2 linked regions of the Struthio camelus genome follow. The protein of the gene in region 1 purifies or fractionates together with the protein of each later gene. This does not show direct contact. Links are inferred from orthologs where the notes say so. Each region holds a gene or a part of one and is shown on either strand. Other genes may lie near its edges.

Evidence for each region. The genes of interacting proteins can lie anywhere in the genome.
Region 2: the proteins of CUL4B (region 1) and DET1 purify together in Homo sapiens (affinity purification with mass spectrometry; 3 studies listed by BioGRID and IntAct, counting the BioPlex papers as one, with this or other methods). This does not show direct contact. The link is inferred for Struthio camelus from reciprocal best matches to the Homo sapiens genes CUL4B and DET1.

Annotation. Positions count from the first base shown.
Region 1 is NC_090952.1:11,849,142-11,856,808, forward strand, and holds the start of CUL4B (cullin-4B), read left to right. Parts: upstream 1-4,654; 5' UTR 4,655-4,802; coding exon 4,803-5,334; intron 5,335-7,667.
Region 2 is NC_090953.1:9,549,396-9,557,158, reverse strand, and holds the start of DET1 (DET1 homolog), read left to right. Parts: upstream 1-4,756; 5' UTR 4,757-5,009; intron 5,010-5,310; exon of another isoform or gene 5,311-5,313; 5' UTR 5,314-5,339; coding exon 5,340-6,422; intron 6,423-7,763. UniProt on the Homo sapiens protein: Component of the E3 ubiquitin ligase DCX DET1-COP1 complex, which is required for ubiquitination and subsequent degradation of target proteins. The complex is involved in JUN ubiquitination and degradation.

The DNA.
Region 1 (7,667 bases):
AGCCCACAGCGTGGCTGCAGCTCCGCGAGAAACAAACCCAGACACTCTCCCCATAGCGCCGCTGCTGTGGGACGTTCAGGAGTTACAGCAGTAAAGCTGTTTTTATTTCTCAAGACAGCAAGATACAACCGGACTTCAAACGTGGCGTAGTCCTATTAAGAAACTATTTTTACACCATCACTTTTGGAAGTAAAATCATGTTTTTAAAAAGCATCACCTCATTTTTTGCAAAAGGGACTCTCAGCTCAAGCATGCCACTTAAATGGGCAAAACTGTTTATGCTAGACATTTTATATGCATATAAAAATAACAGTAATGCTTAGCCAAGATGGTATGAATTAAAATACATTTTCACAAAGTCACTCTCCCCCAAGGGCAAATGTATTTTCTAAAAGATTTTTTAAAATTCCCTTGCGAACACATTCTCTGACTGCAGTAGGTGCGTACCTGCCTGATCCAATATTACTGTTCTCATGCTCCTGATTCCAATAAGATTTTGTTCTAAACTACAAAACTGCTACAAAGGACAGACTTATCTTTAAAACTGAAGAAATTTCTTAAAACTGCCATACCATTTTAAAGTATTCAAATTGATCAAAGATACTTTGCTTGTAGCTTTTTAAAGCCTATGTAAAAACCTAGGTTTGTCAGAACGTGAAGAGAGATGATGGATGGAGCAAGAAATCATCTCATTTTAAGATCTTTGGCATGCCCTTTTGTCATGTTATAGCCTATTGCACAACAGTGTCTTTATTTTGCTTTCATAAGAACAACTTGTTTATTATTTGCAGACATATCACTGTTTTCTTGGGTATTATACCACTCTGAGTGAAAAAAAAAAAACAAACTTCAAAAGAGAAAGGAAGAGTTAATAAACACTAATATTATTTAAACACAAAATATGTTTAACAAAAAAAAACTGCAGCCACCTTCAAAATAGCAAAGCAGAAGCTATTCTTCTCCAGTTTGAGAACAGGAAACAAGGTCTGATCTACAGGATTGTGAAAGAGGTGTGTTTCTTGTCGAACAGTGGATACCGGAGCCAGTCAGGAAATCTGTCAGGGGATAAGGCGACGGTGACACATGCCATCCTTCGGGGTGGAGGAGGAGCAGAGCAAACCTGGCCTCCCGTGAAGATCTCAACCGCCACAGAAATGGGTTCTGGTGCAGACCACTGTGCTTTACAGTGTTTATTAGGATCAAGTTATGTTTTGCCTGCAGTAACTGTGAATAACAATGAAAACCATAGATAGGGGATTTTATCATATTGCTCTTTACCTCGAAGAGCAAACACGTATGATTTTGTTCTTTATACAGCTAACTGCAGGAGCAGGATATACACGGGCCACAATTCTATTTCCTTTGAGAGTAATGGAAACATTATCACTGACGTAAAGGGGAGGGAAGAAAGGACAAAAAAGAGCAGGTCATCATTTTGCTAACTGCTACACAAAAGGAAATCAATCAAGGACGTCAATCTTGATATTATATAATTAGTTAAAACCTAACCTCAGAACAATAGTAGCCATACAAAATAAAATCAAGCTTTTATAAATGGTATAATTTATTCAATTGTAAAATACAGAGTTACAAACACCGATTTTAAACAAACAGGAGAGGAAAGAACTGTGGCATTATATAAACACTCAAGCATTTAACTTCAAAATACTCTCTTACTTTATAGCATTACTTAAAATAGGAAGCTACAATCAAGGATCCAGTTTTAACTGAAGCACAGTAATATTGCTCATGCTCAGATGAGAAAGTGAGAGGGGAAAATTGTCACACGGACAAACTATTCCATACGTTTGTTGTGCTCCTCAGAATACCTTGTTTTAATAATACTTTGCCAAGTTAACAATCCTTGCAGGTGTGGTGACATTTTAAAAAATAGTAGTGAAAATTTCATCATACTGTCACACACAACATTAGAAACCTAAGGCAAAAACTCTTACCCTCAATAACTCCCAATAAATGGCACGTCTCATTGAAACCATGTGAACCACTGGTTTCACACAAGCATAAAACAGCAAGATCAGCTCATAATTCTCAAAAAATGGCTTTTGTCAACAGGAAGCTCTCATCTCCTTTCTTCTGGAAGCTGAATTCATCTGGCTCACTGGCTCCCTTCAGAGCAGAGCTAATCTCCAGTCTGGTCTCCGCACCTCCACCTTCTCTTCCAAGAGAAGGCTTTTTGTTGGTGCAGCTGCACAGACTTCAGGGCTAGCTAACTCTTTGCCCAACCTAAACTTGTGTGTACGAAGAATTTTTGAAGAAGATACTGAGCCCTTAAACTGAAATTTTGCACGGCTGCACAGTCACCTTTAAGTAACAGAATTTTAAAAGCACGGTAGCTGGCTAAGACCTGCAAAGCAACTGGGACATCTAGCAAATAGCTCCACAGCCCTTCCTATTCCTAGGGAGATGACTTGGCAGGATCATATTCTAAATACAAAGGATTCAGAATTTTCCCTCTCCTCCACCTGTTTCAGCAGGAAAGTGGTGAAATCCACTGCAGCTGGCTTCCCCCTCAGTCCCCAGGACCCTCCCTCCTATTCCCCTCTCTCCATGGCACCCCAGACCACGACCGGTTAGGAGCTAAGGAGTCGTGTACGATCAACGGCAGGACACAGCGCCCGAGTAGCTGACTGCTGCCTAACGGAACAACGAGGAGGAAAGGATAACCCTGCTGCTTCTCCAGCAAAGGGGATGCTTACGCACATCTCCCCTTTATACTCATTTTCAGAAGTCATGACTCTGGAGAAAGGTAAGCTATGACCGCTACACCTCTGACTTAATTTGACTTCAGTAAACATGACAGTTACTGAGAACAGAGGAAAACTTGACAGTATAACCCTTAAAGCTTTGTTTATTTACCAAATCTGTTTATTTCTATTATATATGAATTAGACTGTAACTCATTAGGGCTTTTGCAACTATATAACTTGTTCTGTATCCAGTCAGAAACAAACTCACGTATTTTTTTTTAAATCTGGAAAAAGTACTTTTCTGAACAACACTGTGATTAGGTTTCAGGCCTCAGGAGCCACCTGACAGACAGAAAATGTGCTCCAAAAAAAAACTCAGGAAAATTACATTCAAGTAAAATTAAATAAATTCATGAACCACAGTTTCTGTCAAGACAAGCCAGCGTATATTTTTCTACCAGAACCACGGCTGCCGACAGCCTTCCAGCGCGCAGCTTCGCTGTCAGAAAGGCAGGTGTGAGCTCTCAGAAGTCCTTTGAGAGTCTCCCCCGGTACAACCTCACAGCTTGTCTTGTTACTTTTTCTGCAGCTCTTTCCCAGCTCTGACTGAACCATAACAGCGTTCGTGGAGAGTTCGCATTTCTTTGGATAACGGAACAACACCAGCACGACACAAAGCCGCGGACAGCTCACAGCTGCTATTTTTGCTTCCAAGTTTTTTTGTTTTTTAAGTGCTAAGCTCCAGCCCAGCACAAACCCGTTTATGTTAAACCCGCAAGAAAAGCGGTGTGATGACACTAAATAATTATAACTTTTCTTTATACCGAATGAGCGCACAAAAAGAAAGGCCTCCATTTCCCAGACAAGCTAACAGACAAAGGCCTCAAACGCGGGAGGGGGCCCGCGGCCGACCCCCCGGGCGCCCCTCGCCCTCAGCGCTGATTAGCGGCAGCCTCGTCCCGAAGTACCTCAGCGGGAAGCCACCGCGACAAGCGCAGAAAGGACCTCGGCCTCCCGCTCTGCCGCCGGGGCCGCGGCGGGGACCGCAGGGACCGGCTCGGCGCCCGCCGCCACCGGCAGCGCCGCCTCAGGGGGCGGCGGGGGAGGCGCAGGCCGCGTCGGCGGCGCTACGGGGGCTGGCGAGGGCCAAGCCGCGCCCCCGCCCCTCCCGCTGCCGCCACGCGGAGGGCCGAGGCCACGCCCCCTTCCGCACGACGCACCCCACGCCGGCGCGCTAGGGGGTAACGAGCGCGCTCGTCACCGGCTGCCGGCAACCATGATTACTTCCGGTAGGTCAGAGGGTAGCGGAAAGGAGCGGGGGGGGGGGAGGAGGAGGCGGCCTCGCCGCGGCCGCCGGCGGCAGCAGGGCGCGCGGGGAGGGCGCGCGGGGAGGGCGGCTCGGCTCGGCGCGGGTCGGCGGGGCGGGGCGGGGCGGGGCGGGGCCTGCCGCCGCCGCTGCCGCCGCCGCGGGGTCCCCGGCCGCGCTTCCGGGCGGCCGCGCCCCAGCATGCCCGGCGACCGGATGTGCCGCCATCTTTAGGCTCCCTCTCCGCCTTGTATTGACAATAACAAGCCCGGGCCGGGCCGTCCCCGCCGGAGCGCGAGCGGCCAGAGCGGCGCGGGGCCGGCGCGGGCGGGCCCGGGGCTGGAGGCGAGGCGGGCGGCGGCAGCCGCGCTCGGCCCTGCCCGCTGCTGCTCGGCGGAGACGCGGCGGCCGGAGGCGGCGGGGAGCGGGCGGGGGAGCGGCGGCGGCGGCGGCGGGGAGACGCCGGCCCTGGAGAGAAGAGCGGCCGGGAGCTGGGCGGCGGAGAGAGGCGGGAACGGAGCCGCTCCCCGAGACAGGCGCCAGCGCTGAGACAAACCGCGAGAAGAAACACAGTAACACGGAAAAGGGGGAGAGGGGAGATAAAGCGATTCCTCCGCCGAAGAAGAGAGCAGAGGAGAGGGAGCGCGGAGAGGCTCCGCTGATAAAAGGAGGAGAGAGAAAGGAGTGGAAAGACTCCCCCGGGAGACAGCAAACAGAGACTCACTCTCTCTCCCTTCGTCACACCACCAGGATTTGATGCCCCTCAGCCTGTTCACTTCTGTGTGTTCATGTTTCCCACAGGTTTCTCTTCCCCCAACCCCCCAGCAGCAGCTCAGGAGGTCAGACCTGCCACTGATGGTAATAGCAGCAGCAGCAGCAGCTCCTCCTGCAAGAAGAGAAAGTTAAATAACAGCAGCAACAACTCTGAGAGAGAAGAATTTGATTCCATTTCCTCCTGCTCCTCTTCTCCTTCCAAAAACAACTCCTCATCTTCCTCCGTCATCACCACGTCCTCCTGCTCCTCCTCAGGGGTTGCCTCCTCCAACCATCACCTCCAGAAGAAGCTGCGCTTTGAGGACTCCTTGGATTTTATTGGACTCGATGTGAAGATGGCCGAAGAGTCATCTTCCTCCTCCTCTCCTGCTGCCTCTTCTCAACAGCAGCACCAACAACAGCTCAAAAATAAAAGCCTTTTAATTTCTTCAGTGGCTGTGGGGCATCATGCAAATGGCCTGACCAAAGCTGCCTCCTCTACTGTTTCCAGTTTTGCCAACAGTAAACCTGGTTCTGCGAAGAAACTAGTGATCAAGAACTTTAAAGGTAACAGGCCATAATTTGTCACAACCTGTGAGGAGCTGGCGCTCGACTTTGTGTTCTGTTTTCAACATTAAAAGCGGTTGGCTTTCATATAGGTCCAGGTTTTACAGGAAATGATTTTCTGTGGTAAACATTTCTGTTTGTATGTAAAGGGGGAAATGATGTGTTATGATGCATACTTGCCCAGTCCTGTGCCTGTCTTGACTACTACAATGTGTTGCTTGGAATTGTTTTTCACTATTTTCACTCTTACCTGTTGAGGAGAAGACCTTAACTTGTAAGTTAAATGAAATATTTTACTACGTAAGTGTGTAAACCACCTTTATTCGAACTTGTAGTTTGACATTGCTTTCCTATAATTCTGATTCAGGGCGCAGTGTATAGTTTAGCCCGGTTTATGGTAGGTCTTCCCAGAAGGTTGTGGGGCAGGGGTTTTTTTTGTTTGGGGGGGGGGGGGGGAACAGAGTTGTATGTCTTGCCCCGTCTGTTTTGTCTGACTATAGGTTAATCTGTCTGTGCTTAGTTTAAATATTGAAACTAAGGTGATTATGAGGCTATTATGGCGGATTTCCTTTCCACTTCTCCTGCTTGTCTTTAAAGTAGGTAGTTCAGAATTTTGCCAGGTGTTTTTGTCGCAATATCCGTGGTGCAACTTCTACTATTTAACCTTTTTATGGCTTTTTTTTGTTGTTTGTAACCCCTCTCAACAAACAGGTGTTAGATCTGCTAAAGTATCATTAATTGAGATCAACTGAAATGGAGAAATTAAACTTTTTGCTGATGTTGCTTGATGTTCTAGTAAATAAGTTACAAATAGGTGTGGACAAAGAACTTAGTTTCAGGGACCTAAAGTCCTGTGGGTTTGCCTATAAAATGGGTAAATCGGGAGCTTTCCTGGTTTCCTACCTCTTACTATCTTCCATACTGGTCCAGTAGCTTTTTTTCCTGAGTTATGTTTCTTTTCCCCGGTATGTCTGTTTTTTGTCAGGGAGTTGTTATATCTTTTAAAGATTTTAATATTACGAAGATGAAAACTAATATATAAACGTACAGTTGATACAGATGTCCTGTAAAGATATCGCTGAAAGAAGGGCTTATTTTAGCCACTGTAATGTGTTACAGCAATTCATGGTTGCTGGGTAAGCTTTAAGGTCCTCCTGACTCTCAAGAACGTGCTCCCCTCCAATTCCCATGCTCACGTGTCATCGTCACTTAATGAGACTGATTACTTTAAATGTTGCATTGATGATGCATGATAGCGAGGAATAAAGGCCACTCTGCTGCTGCTTGTACTCTTTTATTATCTTTAAGGGAAGTCAGCTCTTCATGTTTAAAATACTTGCTAAATCTCGTGAATTGCATGTTGTCATGATCATCATTGCTTATGAATTGGTATTTGAATCACTTGAAAATCTAGCAACTCTGTGTTTTATTTATTCTCAGATCCCAAGCTGAATATTTTTAATATGCCTTTATCTGTGATAGAAATAACATCCTTTACAACCTGTACAACTTCCTAAAATTCAAAATCCTACTATTTGCTGTTGAGTAGCTCACTTGCTAATTGCTAGTGAAAACAAGCAAGTTTCACTTGTGTTTAACTGTCTCTGCAGATTCTTGTGATGCAAGCGATGTGGGGGTATTGCCAGTATTGTAGAAGAATGCTTGTTTTTGGGGAAAAAGGAAACCCTACTTCGCTTCATTTGTTATTTCTGGAGAAATCATGAGGCTGTAGATTTTTGGTTTCTTAATGTTTAAATAGGTAGAAGTTGATTTTAATACAGTATGAACTCTGGGCCAATTTAACCTATTGGTGGCATGGATGTACGTGTGACTTTCCCCCTAAATTCTCTCCTCCTTCCCTCTATCAGAATAGAGCTATGTGAGCAAAATTTGAGCTATGTGAGCACAAGAGAGGGCTTAACTCTCTTAAAAACCCACTGGCTAAGCCCAAGAGAGACATCACTGAATTAGTTCAAAGTAGGAAGGTTTTCTTGGCAACCATAAAGCCAGTAATATAATTAAGCATTTCCATGTATGTTTCTTAGGGGTTTCCTTCCAAGTGTTTATACAGAGTAGAATTAATAAGCAGTAAACTTAAAATATCGTATACACAACTATGTGTTTTGGAATACTGATTATATTGATATCGCTTTCTTAATCCACCGTGTTCAGCTTTTACGTGACTTTCTCGTTCTTTCAGCTGTGCTGTCGTGATAGTGAAAAAGTGTGACGAAGATGCAGACTGCTGCAAGTCACAGTACTGTGATTTTTTTAACTCATGCCTATGGTTTGGGCTATGGGTGCTGTAAAGTGTACGTGAAACAGGGTGATGT
Region 2 (7,763 bases), on another chromosome or scaffold:
CAGAGCCCCCGTGCACGCGCCTGAGCTCAGCCGGGGCTGCCACCCCTCCGCTGCGCTGGAGCAGGGCGTGCAGTAAAGCACAGGGCTCCTCTTCTAAATGCTTTTTCCGCTGGAAACAGCTCAGTAAGAGCCCAATCCAAGCAGCCCAGTGCTCTGCACAGCTGCCAGCAGTGCAGTAAAACCCCGTATGAGCCCCCAGCAACGTCCCGCGCCAGCCCTCGGCTCTGGGCTGGGGCTGCCCATCTCCACCGCGCTGGGCAATGCCCAGCTCCCCACCGTCCCCCAGCAGATGATGGTGGTAATGGCCGCGTGTCCCCCGACCCCACCGGCACAGGATCCTGAGTGCTGTGCCGGGCTGCCCGCGTGCCGGTCCTCGGGAAAGCTGGGCAACAGCCGGCATGAAACGTGGCAGGAGGTACAAAATCGCTCCCGGTGGAACACCCCAAGAGGGGACAAGGAGGCCCCTGTGAAGGCATCAGATGTTGTCACCTGCCACAACGGCTAAACCCATCAAGAAAAGGCATCGTTATGCTTGAGCACAGGCCCTGCGCCCCTTCCACACCCCTTCTCTCTTCAATACACAGAGATATTCTTACTCGCCAGCTTACCCTTCTGGGCACTTTCCACTGAAGCCCCGAGAAGCTCACCTTAAAGCTGTCTGCTGGTGGAAGGTGGAGAAAACTTTTCCTAAAATCTGAGAAACCACCCCTGATTTCCTTGCTCGCTGAATCCCAGTCTCCCCCTGACCCCGTCTCTTGGGCGCCTCCATCCCTTGGCCTTCAGCATGCTGGTCGGAGGCATCGCGCCAGCTCCAGCCCCACCACCCGTTGCCTCCAGGCTTCCCCAGACCCGCGCGAGCAGGGACTAACTTTGCCGCCAGCTTTGGCTAGACGCCAACCGCTGCCGAAGGCGCACGCGGTTTAGACGTGACGAGACGTATCTTACACCATGATTAACGAAACCGTTGCTGCGAGGGGCTGCTCTCCCCGCTCCGCATCGCCCCAGGCTGGCCCCGGCCGCGGGAAGACTGTGGTCCTGAAGTTATTAGCTCAGGAACCGCTAATAGCTACTGTATTAAATGGGCCTTTTGTCCGTTGAGCTGTCTTTCTGTACGTGCGCGCCCGGCTGTTGTTTTGCTGCCAGCTGCTGTGTGGTTGGATGCTCTTTGGTATTTAGTTTTATCCTATTAAGGTGGATCTCAATTAATTACGCAGGAGGGAGAGAGACAAAGAGAGGCGCCGAGGCCGGTCGTCGCCGTCTTGCAGCCGCGCTTGCGGCAGCCGGGACGCGGCGAGAAGAGCGCAAACGGCGAAAGCGCCCCGGCGGCTCGGCGGGCGAAAGCGCGGCGGGAGCGGGCGCCACGCGGTCCCACTGATCCCGCCGCTCGGCTTCGGTTTGCGGGAACGGCCTCACCCGACGCCCTCCCAGCTTTTATTTTTGTTGCCGAACGCCGGCTCACCCTGGCGCCGCGCTCCTCCGTCCGCTTTCGGTGCAGGGGAAACCCAGGGCGGCTCCGCGCTCGGCCTCCCCGCTCGCCGTGCTGTCTGGGGGCCGTTGCCTGTTTACGCGGGGCTTTTCCCTTCCCGCTGGCAGCGCCGGGGCTGCCGGGGTCCCGCGCCGCCCCGCAGCTCCCCCTCGGCGCCGCGGCGGCTCCAGGAGAGGGGGTGTCCGGAGGGGACGGGAAAGGGGAGAGCTTGGCAGGAGCCTGCCAGGGAGGGAGTTTCGGGGCTCGGCGGGGATGCCGGAGGATGCTCTCACCCGTGTCGTCCCTAACTCCCACACGCCTCGTGCCACGTCTGGCCGCTGTCGCCCACCCCTCGCGCGCTGGCGGGGCGCCGGGGAGCCGGCCGGGCCGAGGAGCCCCCGAACCTCCGCGGCACGCTGCGGTAGCGGGCGGCGCTGCGGGAAGGGGTCCCTCTCCAGCGCCTCTGCTTGCTGCACCTCCCGTGCCCAGCCCGGGCAGGGATGGCCCTGCGCGCACGGCAGTAATGCCACCAGCTGGCCACCGCGGCGGCGGCCGCTCAGGGCTGCCCAGCGCCGTTCCCAGGGCTCGCGCAGAAGGAGAGGCCTTCGGAGGGTCGGGAAGGGCCCTGCGGTCTCAGCACCGCTGTGCCGGGGCGGGGGGAGCTGGAGCCGTGGCGGGGGTCCTGGCGCCCGGCGCTGCCCAGCTCCGTCCGAGGCCTGAGCCCAGCTCGTGGCACCGAGCAGGCGCCCCGCAGCCCCCCGACACATGGCGGACGCCCCAAAACGTTGGGAGCGCCGGCCGCCCCCGGGGCTGAGCCACCTCGGCGCCCGCCGGCCCCACGTCCCTTCGCTGCGCCGCGGCGGTGCCGGGAACGCGCACCGAGCCGCTCAGCCCGGGCGGAGAGGACGGGCCGGCAGGTGGCAAATGGGGCTCAAGAGCTGCCTGACATTCTCCCTTCCTTCCCCCTCGCCTGCTCCCTTTGAAAGACAAGTGCCCTCTCGGCTCGCGCTTGGCCGCCGGCCGCTAATGCAGGGGCCGGGCGGCAGGAGAGCCGCTAAAAGCCTCGGCAGGGGCGAGCGCCCGGCTGCAGCCCAAAGCCGCCGGCAGCGGAAAGCTTTCAAGCCCTTCAGAAAGGAGCCAGCCCCGGGCGCGGGAACCGCGTGGCCGCGCTGGACATCCCGGGGGTGCCGGGGAGCGGGCAGCTCCCCGCCGGCGGGTGCAAACGCTGCACCGGGGCTTCAAGGCGGCCGAGCGGCTCCCTGCTGCCAGGCCAGCGCCGTGGCCGCCGCCGGCTCTCGCCGAGGTGCAGACGGCTCTCCGGGCCCTGCCAAACCTGCAGGGACAGTTCCCCCAGCCACACTTGTCCCTCCCGCAGGAGGATGCCTTCAAGCACGGCTTGCAGGGCACGAGCCTTCGCCGGGATGGGGGACAGGGAAAACGCAGCCCACGTCTCCACACCCAGCATCGGGGGAAGCTTTTAGGGCAGGAGGTGGTGGTCTCGGGGGCGCTGGTAGAAGACGGTGTCCCCCCCCCCACCCCGGGATGTCGCTGAATGGAGGTGCCCTGGGGAAGGAGGGTGACGCACAACTGCCCGAAGCAGCTGTGAATACAAGTGTGGGGGCACGGGGGGGGGGGGCGTCTGCGTGCGGTTTGGGGCTGCATGTGGGGCAGTGGGGCCGGATCCCCCTGACGGTGCTGAAGCAGCGAGGGAGGTACCCAGGGAACAGGGCAGTGCAGGGAGGAGAGGGGTGTCCCTCAGGGGGATGGGGGGGTGCTCGGCATGCAAGGGGTGCCTGGGTGCAGGGACGGGGTGCAGGGGATGTCCAAGAGGGTTGGGGTGCCCAGGGGGTGCAGGGATAGGGGCACGGGGATGCCATGCAGGGATGCAGGGGTACAGCGGTGCAGGGATTGGGTTCAGTGATGCAAGGGCTCAGAGGCACAGGGGTGCAGCGGTGCAGGGGTTCAGGGGCACAGGACTGCAGGGATGTGGGAGGGTGCAGAGATGGGGTTCAGGAGTGCAGAGGCACAGGGGCTCAGGAATGGGGTGCAGGGCTGCAGGGGCGCAGGGCTGCAACGGTGCAGGCGTGCAGGGGTTCAGGGTGCAGGGATGGCATGCAGGGGCTCAGGGGTGTGGGAGCTCAGGGATGCAGGGACGCAGGGGCAGGGGTGCAGAGGCTCAAGGGTGCAGGGGCTCTGGTGTGCAGGGACGCAGGGGTGCAGGGGTGCCCAGGGGGTGCAGAGGCTCAGGGGTGCATGGACTCAGGCTCGGAGTGCAGGGACTCAGGGGCGCAGGGACTCGGGGGGGTGCAGAGGTGCAGGGGCTCAGGGGCGCAGGGGTGCAGGGACTCGGGGGGGTGCAGAGGTGCAGGGGCGCAGGGGTGCAGGGACTTGGGGGGTGCAGAGGTGCAGGGGTGCAGGGGCGCAGGGGTGCAGGGACTCGGGGGGTGCAGAGGCTCAGGGGCGCAGGGGTACAGGGACTCGGGGGTGCAGAGGTGCAGGGGTGCAGGGACTCGGGGGGTGCAGAGGTGCAGGGGCACAGGGGTGCAGGGACTCGGGGGGGAGCAGGGGCTCAGGGGCTCAGGGGCGCAGGGGTGCAGGGACTCGGGGGGTGCAGAGGTGCAGGGGCGCAGGGGTGCAGGGACTCGGGGGGGCGCAGGGGTGCAGGGGCGCAGGAGTGCAGGGACTCGGGGGGTGCAGGGGTGCAGGGACTCGGGGGGGCGCAGGGGTGCAGGGGCGCAGGGGCGCAGGGACTCAGGGGGGTGCAGGGGCTCAGGGGCGCAGGGGTTGCAGGGGTGCAGGGGCGCAGGGGTGCAGGGGTGCCGGGACCCGGGGGTTGCAGGGGTGCAGGGGCTCAGAGGTGCAGGGGTGCAGGGATTCGGGGGGGTGCAGAGGTGCAGGGGCTCAGGGGTGCAGGGACTCGGGGGGTGCAGAGGTGCAGGGGTGCAGGGATTCGGGGGGGTGCAGAGGTGCAGGGGCTCAGGGGTGCAGGGGTGCAGGGACTCGGGGGGTGCAGAGGTGCAGGGGCGCAGGGACTCGGGGGGGTGCAGGGGCTCAGGGGCGCAGGGGTTGCAGGGGTGCAGGGGTGCCGGGACCCGGGGGTTGCAGGGGTGCAGGGGCGCAGGGGTGCAGGGGCGCAGGGGTGCAGGGCTGCCCCGCGCGCGCCCCGCGGCGCTCCCTCCACCCGCTAGGCGGCGGCGGGGGTCGGCCCAGGGCTGCTGACACTCTGGTGCGGGCTCCGGCTCGCCTCGCTGGTATGGCGGAGCGGAAGCGGAAGGCGGCGGCGGCGGCGGCGGCGGGAGCGGGGGCGGGGGGGAGCGGTGATACGCTCTTGCCGCCGCCGTCGCGGTCCTTCGTCGCTCGGTGGCGGAAAGATGGCGGCGGCCATAGAGTGAGCGGCGGCGCCGGGACCCTGCGGCCGGGCCCGAGCGCTGAGCGCAGCCGGGGCCCCGGGGTCCTCAGCCGGGGCTGCCGCTCCCCGGCGCCCTCTCGCACCCCTCGGCGCCCGGCCGGGCCCCGGGGTCCCTGCGGGCCCCTCGGCAGGCAGGTGCGTAGGGTCCCCGCTCCCGACCGCCCCCGGTCCCCGCCTGTGCTGCCGCCCCCGGCTCCCTCCGTCGCCCCCCCGTGTCTGCCGCCAGCGGGTGCCCCGGGGCCCCCGTCTCGGCCCCCCTCGCCCCCCGGGCCCCGGCGTTCCCTGGGGGCTCCCTACCCCCCCACACCTCCACCCATTGGGTCCCTTGAGCACCCCCCTTGCTCTCCTCCAGCTGCAGCAAGCGGGTGCCTTGCTGCCCCATCTTCTCTGCTGGTCTCTGTGAGGTCCCGGGGCACGTGCGTGCTCTCTTCCCCAGCAGGGTGAAGATGAAGTAGTGCTCTGACCATGGACCATGACGCCCCCACGATCAGGCCCCGCCGCATCCAGAACCAGAACGTCATCCACCGTCTGGAGCGCCGACGGATCAGCTCGGGCAAAGCCGGCACCCACTGGCACCAAGTCCGCGTCTTCCACCAGAACGTCTTCCCCAACTTCACCGTGGTCAACGTGGAGAAGCCCCCCTGCTTCTTGCGAAAGTTCTCCCCTGATGGGCGCTACTTCATCGCCTTCTCCTCCGACCAGACCTCCCTGGAGATCTATGAATATCAGGGCTGCCAGGCAGCAGAAGACCTTCTGCAAGGCTATGAGGGAGAGATCCTGGCCAACGGCAACGACCAAAGATCTGTCAACATTCGGGGGCGGCTCTTTGAACGCTTCTTTGTCCTGCTCCATATCACCAATGTGGCCTCCAATGGCGAGCACTTGAACCGCGAGTGCAGCTTGTTCACAGACGACTGTCGGTATGTGATTGTCGGCTCTGCTGCTTACCTGCCTGAGGAGCCTCACCCTCCCTTCTTTGAGGTTTACCGCAACAGCGAGTCTGTGACCCCTAATCCCCGGTCCCCTTTGGAAGACTATTCCTTGCATATCATAGACCTCCACACAGGCAGACTCTGTGACACAAGGACATTCAAATGTGACAAAGTCATCCTGTCTCACAACCAGGGCCTGTACCTTTATAAAAACATCTTGGCCATTCTCTCTGTGCAGCAACAGACTATTCATGTCTTTCAAGTAACACCTGAGGGTACTTTCATTGATGTACGGACTATCGGCCGCTTCTGCTATGAGGATGACCTCCTGACTCTGTCTGCGGTGTATCCTGAGGTGCAGCGGGACAGTCAGACAGGGATGGCCAACCCCTACAAAGAGCCTTTCATAAACTCTTTGAAGCATAGGCTGCTGGTGTACTTGTGGAGAAGGGCAGAGCAGGATGGAAGTGCCATAGCAAAAAGAAGGTTCTTCCAGTACTTCGATCAGCTGAGGCAGCTCCGCATGTGGAAGATGCAGCTTTTGGATGAGAATCATCTATTTATCAAATATACTAGTGAAGATGTGGTTACGCTGCGGGTGACTGATCCTTCACAGGTATTGCCTGCCTCCTCAGACTGTTTCTTGAGAGCGCTTGCCCCACAGCAATAAAGTAAAATGCTGTGAGCTGCATTTCTTAGTTGAGCCTGTGAATGTTCAGGGGATAAGTTGTTTGGGACCACTGTACTTCCTTCATTCTTGTGTGAACATTTGATGTCTCTGGTATTGAGTAACTTTAGTATCTTTTTCTCTCATAATTTTATCACAAAGGAGGGAGGAAAGATCTTATGTGGTTAACAAGTCCTCTTTCTCCAGGGATCATTCCCTGTGCTCACAGATGCTTTATAACCCACTTTCCCTTCCCAAATCCCTAGTTGATTTTTTTTTTTTTTAAGCTACTATTTCATATAATACACTTATATTGTAGAGGTACTTTCTTTTCACATGTATCTTAGAGCATGTTTTTCGAATATAATAGTCTTCATTTTTCCCTGGTAGAATTGCCTTTTCTTTTCTGCCTACGTACTTAGGCTTTCAAGCTTCTGTCAGAGATAGTATTTACGATCTCTTGAAATTGGAGTAGCTGCTCTTAAATTTAGCTAATGTGCCAATTGCTTCTCTTTTCAGTTTAGTACTGAAGAAATCAAATTAGAGCAAATGTAGCTTAGTCAGTGTTGGGTCCTTCCAGATGTTTCACCATCCTGCAGGTTGATCATCTCTCTTTTCACTGTTAGAGACTTAATCAGTTTTTGATCTCTGTGAGACTGAGCAAGTTCACATTCTTTTCTTTTTTTTTCCTTTTTTATTCCTTTAATCCACTTTTATTTTGTTCAAAATATTTGGCAAGAATTTTTAATGAATCTCTAGTGCTGCTTGTTCGTCTGATTGTTCCCTAGATTTTTTTGTATACCCTCCTCTTCCTCCCCATCTTTATCAGTTCCTGCACTTAGACCCTAGAAGAAATTCTCTAGAACTAATTTCTAGTATTAGTCTAATTCTTCTGGTGGGTGACTGTGTGCTTTTTTTGTTTTAATGTTTTACATTTTTTGGAAGGGGGTAACTTCAGGAGAGGATAGATGAGGCATAATCTAACCAATTTTACCCATCGATATAAAACTAGGTGGCTATCACAAAGATGTTAGAGCTTTGTGAAAGTGTCTTGCAGTTTTCTGCTTGCAGATAGTATCCTGGTAATCTTCCTGACAAAGGCCTTAGGCCACCCCGATGTAAATGTATGTGGTAGACTTGGCTCAGCTCTCTACTGTGGTTACCAAGGCTCTTGTGCCTCCTTTGCTGCAACTGTTCTTGACTTGTTTCACCTGAAGATTACTTTAAGATGCAGATTGTGGTTTGTTTGTAGCATTCCTCAGGTGGTGTATTTTCTGCTGGAGGAAAAGC